Linked DNA regions of Xenopus tropicalis. The protein of the gene in region 1 binds, or shares a complex with, the protein of each later gene. Links are inferred from orthologs where the notes say so. Each region holds a gene or a part of one and is shown on either strand. Other genes may lie near its edges.

Evidence for each region.
Region 2: the proteins of kpnb1 (region 1) and pthlh are in contact, whole or in part, in a crystal structure (PDB 1M5N), measured with the Homo sapiens proteins. The link is inferred for Xenopus tropicalis from reciprocal best matches to the Homo sapiens genes KPNB1 and PTHLH. Residues at the interface, in NP_002256.2 of Homo sapiens: Val55, Tyr104, Pro106, Gln111, Glu152, Tyr156, Gln159, Asn196, Leu199, Asn200, Gln239, Glu274, Gln278, Glu281, Asp288, Ile295, Ser298, Glu299, Asp339, Asp340, Trp342, Val350, Met353, Glu395, Trp430, Arg434, Glu437, Asn469, Trp472; in NP_945316.1 of Homo sapiens: Tyr103, Thr105, Gln106, Glu107, Thr108, Asn109, Lys110, Val111, Glu112, Thr113, Tyr114, Lys120, Thr121, Pro122, Gly123, Lys124, Lys125, Lys126, Lys127, Lys129.

The regions. Positions count from the first base shown.
Region 1 is NC_030686.2:10,834,738-10,839,319, reverse strand, and holds the start of kpnb1 (importin subunit beta-1), read left to right. Parts: upstream 1-1,769; 5' UTR 1,770-1,959; coding exon 1,960-1,999; intron 2,000-2,133; coding exon 2,134-2,192; intron 2,193-4,582.
Region 2 is NC_030679.2:10,530,082-10,534,628, reverse strand, and holds the end of pthlh (parathyroid hormone-related protein), read left to right. Parts: intron 1-1,419; coding exon 1,420-1,818; intron 1,819-3,296; coding exon 3,297-3,306; 3' UTR 3,307-3,891; downstream 3,892-4,547. UniProt on the Homo sapiens protein: Neuroendocrine peptide which is a critical regulator of cellular and organ growth, development, migration, differentiation and survival and of epithelial calcium ion transport.

The DNA.
Region 1 (4,582 bases):
CCAATTTCAGGCCAGATATCGGTTGGCCAGGCCACTCTGTTCTGCCCATACACGGGCCGATTAGCTGCCGAATCGGTCCAAGGGACCAATATCGGCAGCTATAGTCAGCCCGTGTATGGGCACCATAAGGGTGTAGTATATTAACATGCTCTTGTGGTTCTCAGTATGTGGGGAAGACCATATGGAATGTATCTAAATGCATTCTGGACTCTTTAGAGACAGGAGACTTAGGGCAGGGGTACACGGGAAGATTAGTCGCCCCGCGACAAATCTCCATTCTCACGGGCAACTAATCTCCCCATAATGCCATCCCACCGGTTAGAATGTAAATTGCTGGTGGGATGGCATACGTGGCGCCGCAATGTCGCCCGAAGTTTCCTCTCAAGGCGCGTCTAATCTACCTGTGTGTTACTGCCCTTAAGATCAGCAATGTCCAAACGTATTTTGAAGAAACATGACGGTAACGCACATTTTACTTTTCAGATTATTGACAGGCCATCTTTTCAGATAAGGATCTAGAGAGGAGACTGTTAAGGCAAGAGGCTTTTTGGATCTATAACTTGAATTCCCTGGAGTTCCAGGGTGGGATGAATAGGGAATGGGAGTTATCCTGTTTCTATTGAGAATTGTATAAATGGGGTTAACTTTTTGATTCTCCCTCCATTATATTTGGGTCCTCCTAACTATAAGTATTTCTATTTTGCTATCCTTATTTGTACTTCTTTTATGTATATTGTGTGGTGTGTAAGGGTTCATGTAGTCTATATCAGGGGGCTCAAACTCAATTTACCTGGGGGCCGCAGGAGGCAAAGTCAGGATGAGGCTGGGCCGCATAAGGGATTTCACAAAAAATTGGCTTTCAAGGGATAATGCAAGGCACGGCGGGAGCTGCTGATTGCGGAAATGACGTTATGCCATAACAGTTATTATGGGAAGATGTTCTGTGTGCACAATTAGCTCCTTAGCAGCTGTGCACACAGAATGTCTTCCCATAATAACTGTTATGATGGCATAATGTCATTTCCGCAATCAGCAGCTCCCGCCCGCCGTGCCTTGCATTATCCCTTGAATCGCAATAAAAATCGCGATCCATTCGTTGCTTTTGAGAAGGCGTTGGTGCGGGCCACAAAATACTGTACTGAGGGCCGCGAGTTTGAGACCCCTGGTCTATATAGTCCAACTAGTCTTTTGACTAGTTGGATTATATAAGCCCCTCCCACTTACGGGCTGATAATGCTTCTGAGGCCATGAAACGCGTTAAGCGTAGCTCCATGGCTGTACATATAGGTTTTTACATATAGGATTGAATAAAAATGACTGTTTTTTAATCCAGCTCTTTTTTTTGGTGCATTTTTTCTATTTCCTGCCACTAAACATCTGTCGTGGTTTGTACAAAGCCATCCAATGACTTGGGCTCAGTAAAGCTGCGCTGCTAGCACTACAGCCTGCCGAGCGGCGGCCACATGACTAAGCAGATTGGAAGCGCTAAACTTCTCTTTCAGCTGTTGAAAGACTACAACACCCAGAATGCCTTTGGGGAGCTCTAACCACAGCAGCAGTCGCCTTTTCCATTTCTACAATAAAATAAAAAGTATCGTACTTTTCAACTACCCTTCAGCTCGCCATAGTGTAATAATGACTCAGTACGGAAAGGGAACACTCTCACCCCACAGTGTGAGGACTTGGCTAATGGGCCCGCCCTTTCATTGGCTCTACCTAATAGGACGCACCCCCTCTCCCCCACAACCCTTAGCGGCACTCCTTAGGCGCAGCAAGTCCCCTCACAACAACCAATAGGTTTCCGGGACGTACAACTAGATCCGGCAGATATCCGTGCGCAGCAGAGCCACACCTCCTCAGCCCCATTCTTCCCTCTGACACAAGCGCGCTCGAATCCCTCCGCGCCACGCTTGCTCACTCCGGCAGCCCGCCTGAGCTCTGTGACCCGGCACCGCCCGCATGGAGCTCGTCACCATCCTCGAAAAGACCGTGTCTCCGGGTACGGGCGGCTGGTTATTGGGGGTATTATTGTGTGGGATAACAGTGAGGGGAGGGGGGCAGCAGGGAAATGCATGGGGATCCCCAATAGAGCGGCAGGGCCCTGAACCCATGTCTACCCTTCTTTTCCCTCAGACCGCAATGAGTTGGAGGCGGCGCAGAAGTTCCTGGAGCAAGCTGCAGTCGAGAATCTGGTGAGAAATGATAGAAGTTGGGCTTGAGAAGGAAGCCGGGTAGGGAGGCACCATGACAGCCACACGGAGCCTTAGGTTGGCCGTGCCGGCTCTCCCACTACATTAAACGCATGCAGGAAACAGCGACACTTATAAAAAGAGTCCCACTATCAAAGTAGCCACCAAGCTGGCAGGGGGCATGCTGGGAGTTTATTTGGACTTATTAGGCCTGGGGGGTAATCGTTCTCTGATAACCCCCGCAGCACATAGGAAGCCGGGAATTGCTGGGACTGCCACTGCCAGTAGGTCGCCAGCTGTTCTGAAATGGCTAGCGCTGTGGTGCCCGGCCAGGCCTCAGTGAAAAGCGCCAAGACTGGCGCAGCCTAACTTGCCCGCCACCCTGCGCTAGCCAATGGGGAGGCGCGGAGCCATTTAGCCGGGTCTAATTCGGCCAATGAGAAAGCGAGAAGAGGGAGCGGCGAGGGGGGCGGTGGTAAAGCACGTTGCGTTGCACAGCTATGTGGGGCTAATGGGGCTCCTTGTGGCATCGCATGATGTCGCATTTGGGCTGCTCTGTGCGTGTTGTGTGATTTTCCTGTGCTGACAAATTGCATTTTTTTGCAGTCCTTGGAGAATGTACAGAACTCAGTGTAGGTGCAGTGTGACATGCCACATTCCTGTCATTGTGAGCTTCCTTGTATTGCAATAAATGTCGTTAAACCCTGCAAACTAAATGCTTGCTTCCTGTTTCAAGGTATTCTCTAAGTACCAAATGTTTTGTATTGCTTTGCCATGAAGCTGACATGTTACTGTTTTCTTCAAAACTGACCTGCGCTTAAAGGAACAGTAACACCAAAAAAATGTATATATTTTCAAGAAATTAAACTATACTGTATTGCTGCCCTGGTAAAAATTGTATGTTTGCTTCAGAAACATTACTAGAGTTTATATAAACCCTGGTGTGTAGCCATGGGGGCAGCCATTCAAAAGAAGAAAAGGCACAGGTTATATAGCAGCTAACAGATAAACTCTGTAGAATACAATGGTGTCTTATCTGTTATTTGCTATGTAACCTGTGACTTTTTTCCAGCTTGAATGGCTGCCCCCAGGGCTACTCAGCAGTGTATTTATATAAAATATAGTAGTGTTCCTGAAGCAAACACCCGAGTTTTACTAGTGCAGGGCAACAGTACGTTATATTTCAATTACTTTAAAACACTTTCATTTTTTGGTGTTACTGTTCCTTTAAGTTTTTGAAATGTTAGGAAAGGATCTCGGGAAACAAGTGGTGCCAATGGCTGCCATCTTTACTTGGCAAAGACCAGGCTGGGGGTGGGGGGCAGGGTTTAATACAGGGGTGCACAAAAGGTAGATCACGGTCTACCGGTAGACCTCAAGGTGGAATGCAGTGGGATGACATCCCGCCACTTCCCCCCCCCCCCCCCCCAGCATACTGAAGCTTTCAAGTGCGACTGCTCAAGCCGTCTTTGTAGTTTCATCCCAGTATAGAAGATTGTCCCCACTGGGCCACTGTATATATTTGTTCCCACTTCATATATGTTTCTGTGTGCAGACTACAAAGTGGGCCATAAGGAAGGGAAGTAAAAACTACTACAATCCTTTCACATTAAACTTGAAGTTGGCACGTGAATAATGTTATGTGGGCATTAAATGTGAATTTGGCACTGCATTTATATATTGCTATGTGTATTTGTTAAACATCCATTGATATTTCTGTTGCTTATTGTGCCAAATGATAGACGTTGCACTATTTTAACTGTGGTAGAGCTCATGACTGAGGCCAGGTGGGAAGAGTAGATCACAGAGTGACAAAATCTGGGCACCACTGGTTTAATAGAACCATCATGTACCTTTCCTCATGCCAGAATTCATCTCTTACCTCCATGTCACTTTGTTTTTATAATAACAATCACTTAAAGTGGCCTTGCATAGGCTAAAAAAAAAAGCTACTGACTTTTAGATCAGTTTATCCACTTAGGGCAGTGGCACACGTGGAGATTAATTGGCCAGTGTCAAATCTCCCGGCAATGCCATCCCACTGGCTAGAATGTAAATCGCCGGTGGGATGGCATATGCGTCGCTGCAGTGTCCCAAAGTTTCCTTTCAAGACAATTTCGGCCGATTTCGGGACATTGCAGAAATGCGTATTCCATCCTGCCGGCGATTTACATTCTAGCTGGTGGGATGGCATTGCGGGGGATTAGTCGCCCATAACAATGAAGATTTGTCGCGGGGCGACTAATCTCACTGTGTCCCGCTGCCCTTCTTGGTCTGTATATGGTGTCCTCAAGAGACCTACCCAAATAAAGTTTTCCCTGAAAATTGTCCAGCATGTTGATGTCTCCTTAGGTCACACAGAATGATCCAATTTCTGGTCCCTTGTTGGATCA
Region 2 (4,547 bases), on another chromosome or scaffold:
AGATATAATTACCCCTTATTGGGGCAGAACAGCCCTATTGGGTTTATTTCATGGTTAAATGATTCCCTTTTCTCTGTAATAATAAAACAGTACCTGTACTTGATCCCAACTAAGATATAATTACCCCTTATTGGGGGCAGAACAGCCCTATTGGGTTTATTTCATGGTTAAATGATTCCCTTTTCTCTGTAATAATAAAACAGTACCTGTACTTGATCCCAACTAAGATATAATTACCCCTTATTGGGGGCAGAACAGCCCTATTGGGTTTATTTAATGGTTAAATGATTCCCTTTTCTCTGTAATAATAAAACAGTACCTGTACTTGATCCCAACTAAGATATAATTACCCCTTATTGGGGGCAGAACAGCCCTATTGGGTTTATTTAATGGTTAAATGATTCCCTTTTCTCTGTAATAATAAAACAGTACCTGTACTTGATCCCAACTAAGATATAATTACCCCTTATTGGGGGCAGAACAGCCCTATTGGGTTTATTTAATGGTTAAATGATTCCCTTTTCTCTGTAATAATAAAACAGTACCTGTACTTGATCCCAACTAAGATATAATTACCCCTTATTGGGGGCAGAACAGCCCTATTGGGTTTATTTAATGGTTAAATGATTCCCTTTTCTCTGTAATAATAAAACAGTACCTGTACTTGATCCCAACTAAGATATAATTACCCCTTATTGGGGGCAGAACAGCCCTATTGGGTTTATTTAATGGTTAAATGATTCCCTTTTCTCTGTAATAATAAAACAGTACCTGTACTTGATCCCAACTAAGATATAATTACCCCTTATTGGGGGCAGAACAGCCCTATTGGGTTTATTTCATGGTTAAATGATTCCCTTTTCTCTATAATAATAAAACAGTACCTGTACTTGAAGCGAGAGCATGGGGACTGGTTGCCCTTATACTGAAGAAACAGTACAGAATATTTAATTGATTACATTTAGAAAGTTTCTTATTTCATATTAAATTTGCCCTTTAAAGGGACATGATCTTTAAAAACACAAATAGGATGCTTTCACCCTTATTTACATTATATATAGGTTATGGCCACTTTTACACTTCTATATTTCTGACACAGAAGCCCAAGCTGCCCATATACAGGCCAATATAACGCCCCTCAGGACCAACTCCTTATTTTATTTTATTAACGCCTACTGCATCCCAGCAGCAGTCACAGTTTACATTCCCTGGCAGTCAAGCAGTTAATGAGGCCTGACAGCGCTGACTCAAACACAATAAATAAACCCGCTGGCATTAAGACATTGCACCCCCGGCCAAACACCAACGGACTATGCCGGAATTTGTGTGAAAGTTGTATCTGTGTTGTAGAAAGCTAGTTGGTCCTCTTGGCCTATCAGTGCAGCAGGACTAATGCCGTGCAATGTCCTATCCCCACAGGCGGAGGGCAGTATCGGAGCACCAGTATCTCCACGACAAAGGCCGGGCCATCCAAGAGCTGCGGCGCAGGATATTCCTCCAGAACCTGATGGGCCGAGTGAACACGGCGGGACTGCACGCGCCACCGGACGAGGCCTTGCTCCCCGCCACCAGCGTGAAGAACTACAACACCCTGCGCACGGTGGCAGAAGAAGAGGGGGCCACCACGCACCTGACTCAGGAGACACAGAAATCACTGAGCTACAAGGAGCCCTCTCCGAAAACCCACGGCAAGAAGAAAAAAGGCAAGCCGGGAAAGCGCAAAGACCAGGATAAGAGGAAGAGACAGGAGCGCTCAGCGCTGGAAAGTCTGCAAGACCCACCGGGATCGGCTTTTTGGTTGGAAGAATTAGATTACAGGTAATGGTGTCAACTTGGTCTTCAAGGTGGGGATATCGAGAGAAGATCCGCTCGCTTGGCGACCTCGCCAAGCGAGCGGATCTTCACGTGTATGGCCACCTTTAGATTATTCCTATCTCGGGTTGCCACCTTTGTAGAGTCAAAGTGGTCAAAAATAGAGTCTTGTCTGGATTTCACACCTATAAAATAACTTTAAAGGAGAAGTAAAGGTAAAAACCACAGGGCCGCTCCTGCCATGAAGCAAAGGAGAACCTTGGCCTTGGCAGTAGGAAGATGCCAGTTACCAGGGGCGGCAAAAAGTCACCCGAATATTTGTTATTTGGCTCCCCCCAGGGATTTTTTACTTTCCTTCTCCATTAAGGCTGCACCACCACCTTTTTACTTGCTATACAGGCATTGGTTAGGGCATTGGTTGGGACATTGGTAGGGGCATTGGTTAGGGCATTGGTTGGGGCATTGGTTGGGACGTTGGTTGGGACATTGGTTGGGGCATTGGTTGGGGCATTGGTTGGGACATTGGTTGGGGCATTGGTTAGGGCATTGGTTGGGGCATTGGTTGGGACATTGGTTGGGACATTGGTTGGGACATTGGTTGGGACATTGGTTGGGGCATTGGTTGGGACATTGGTTGGGGCATTGGTTGGGACATTGGTTGGGGCATTGGTTGGGGCATTGGCTGGGACATTGGTCGGGGCATTGGTCGGGACATTGGTCGGGGCATTGGTTGGGGCATTGGTCGGGGCATTGGTCGGGGCATTGGTCGGGGCATTGATTGGGGCATTGGTTGGGGCATTGGTCGGGGCATTGGTCGGGACATTGGTCGGGGCATTGGTTGGGGCATTGGTTAGGGCATTGGTTGGGGCATTGGTTAGGGCATTGGTTGGGGCATTGGTTGGGGCATTGGTTGGGACATTGGTTGGGGCATTGGTTGGGACATTGGTTGGGACATTGGTTGGGGCATTGGTTGGGACATTGGTTGGGGCATTGGTTGGGACATTGGTTGGGGCATTGGTTGGGACATTGGTTGGGACATTGGTTGGGGCATTGGTTGGGACATTGGTTGGGGCATTGGTTGGGGCATTGGTTGGGGATGGCCCAAGTAAATCCCTAGGAAAATCGAAGTAGACAATGGTGCAACACCCTAATGAAAAGTACCCCGTTTAGTGCCGACGCAGGCTTCCCTTGTGCTTTTGGGGGATAAAAATGACACCCAAGGCATTTTGATGTCCAACCATTAAAAATCATTCTTTGAATTCATTAGGAAAATATTTCCAAAAAGAATTTTAAAAAAATCATCCTCTGTAACTATGCTTATACCATAGCGCCACCTTGTGGTGGTAAAGAGCACAGACTCTATTTTTGGCTCAATGAAAAAAAAATACCAAATGAATTGCCCCCAGATCTATCGCCCGAGAGGGCTCGGCGGCCGCACACGTTTGGTTAAATTAATGCCTTTCTTTTCCCTTCTTTCTCTGCAGGACGCAGTGAATATTTGACTGGAGAATACTTGCATTTTGGAGAAAATCGGAAATATAAAAAAAAAAAAAAAGACGTGCGTCAGAGAATATTCTGGATCCGTACATACGAGCTGTATTTATTATCATCCACGTGCGCTGTCCCTTCCCGCCATTTGTAAAACTGCACAGTCGCATTTCGGCGGCCTCCCCCCTCCCCCCCCCCGTCTCTTATTTATTGGTTGAATTATGTATTTATTGTTTGACCCTTGTGCTGCTGCCCTCCTTTTTATAAATGTTGCACTTTACGTTCAAAAAACTCGCAGAAAATCCTTGATTTTTTTTTTTCTATTTTTTGATATTGAAACCGATATAGCATTTTGTGCATGTAGAAAAATGTGGTATAATTTGTACAGAATTGTGTAATAAATCCGGTGTAAAAAAAAAAAAAAAGAAAAGAAAAACGAAAAAAAAAAAAACCGTTATGTCTGATTTCGGACGCCCAGTGACATTCCAGTAGCCCGACGACTCCTGGTCAGCTTTGCTGTATCTGTAACCTAAACATCTGGATACAGTGGCCTCTGTCCTATAAATAAAGTTCTTTTCTCTCGGGCCCTTACATGGCTTTGTATTGTTTTGTTTTTGTGTATCTTCTTATGTTCAGGTCCGGACTGGCAATCCATGGTTTCTGGCAAATGCCAGAGGGGCTACTGCAGAATGACATAGACAGTCACTATTCAGTGGGCTGGTTGGGCAGGGCCGGAACTAGGGGTAGGTAGAAGAGGTACAACGGTGGGGGGGTGCCAGGCAGGTACCTTTTCTTCTACCTACCACCGGTTCCAGACCCTTTCCCCCCAATGTGCAGCGGCCCCGGTAACCTCTTCCTGTAGACCTGTGCCCTGTGTGCGCATTGGAGGGTGTTGGCGGCCCAAGCCAACCGGGTTGCTTAGGGCGCCTGGCCGGCTTGGCCTGGCACTGTGGTTGGGGTATATTTGGGCCTCTATGTACTTGAAATGTCAGGGAATATTTTAAAACCCAGTCCAGACCTGTGTTCATCCATGGCCAAACCTTGGTTTACCCAAACCAGAGTCAGACTGGGTCGGAAAGATCCAACCCTTGCCGGCACTCCCTCTGCCCAACCGTTCTTCTACTGACACATTAAATTTACACACGCTCAAGGTAGGACGTTGGGTGGGGGACCCTGCAGCGGGTTAGGGGGGCCCCTGCATGGGGGGATTAGGGGATGCAGCCGGCGGGGGCACCTGTAGGGCCCCC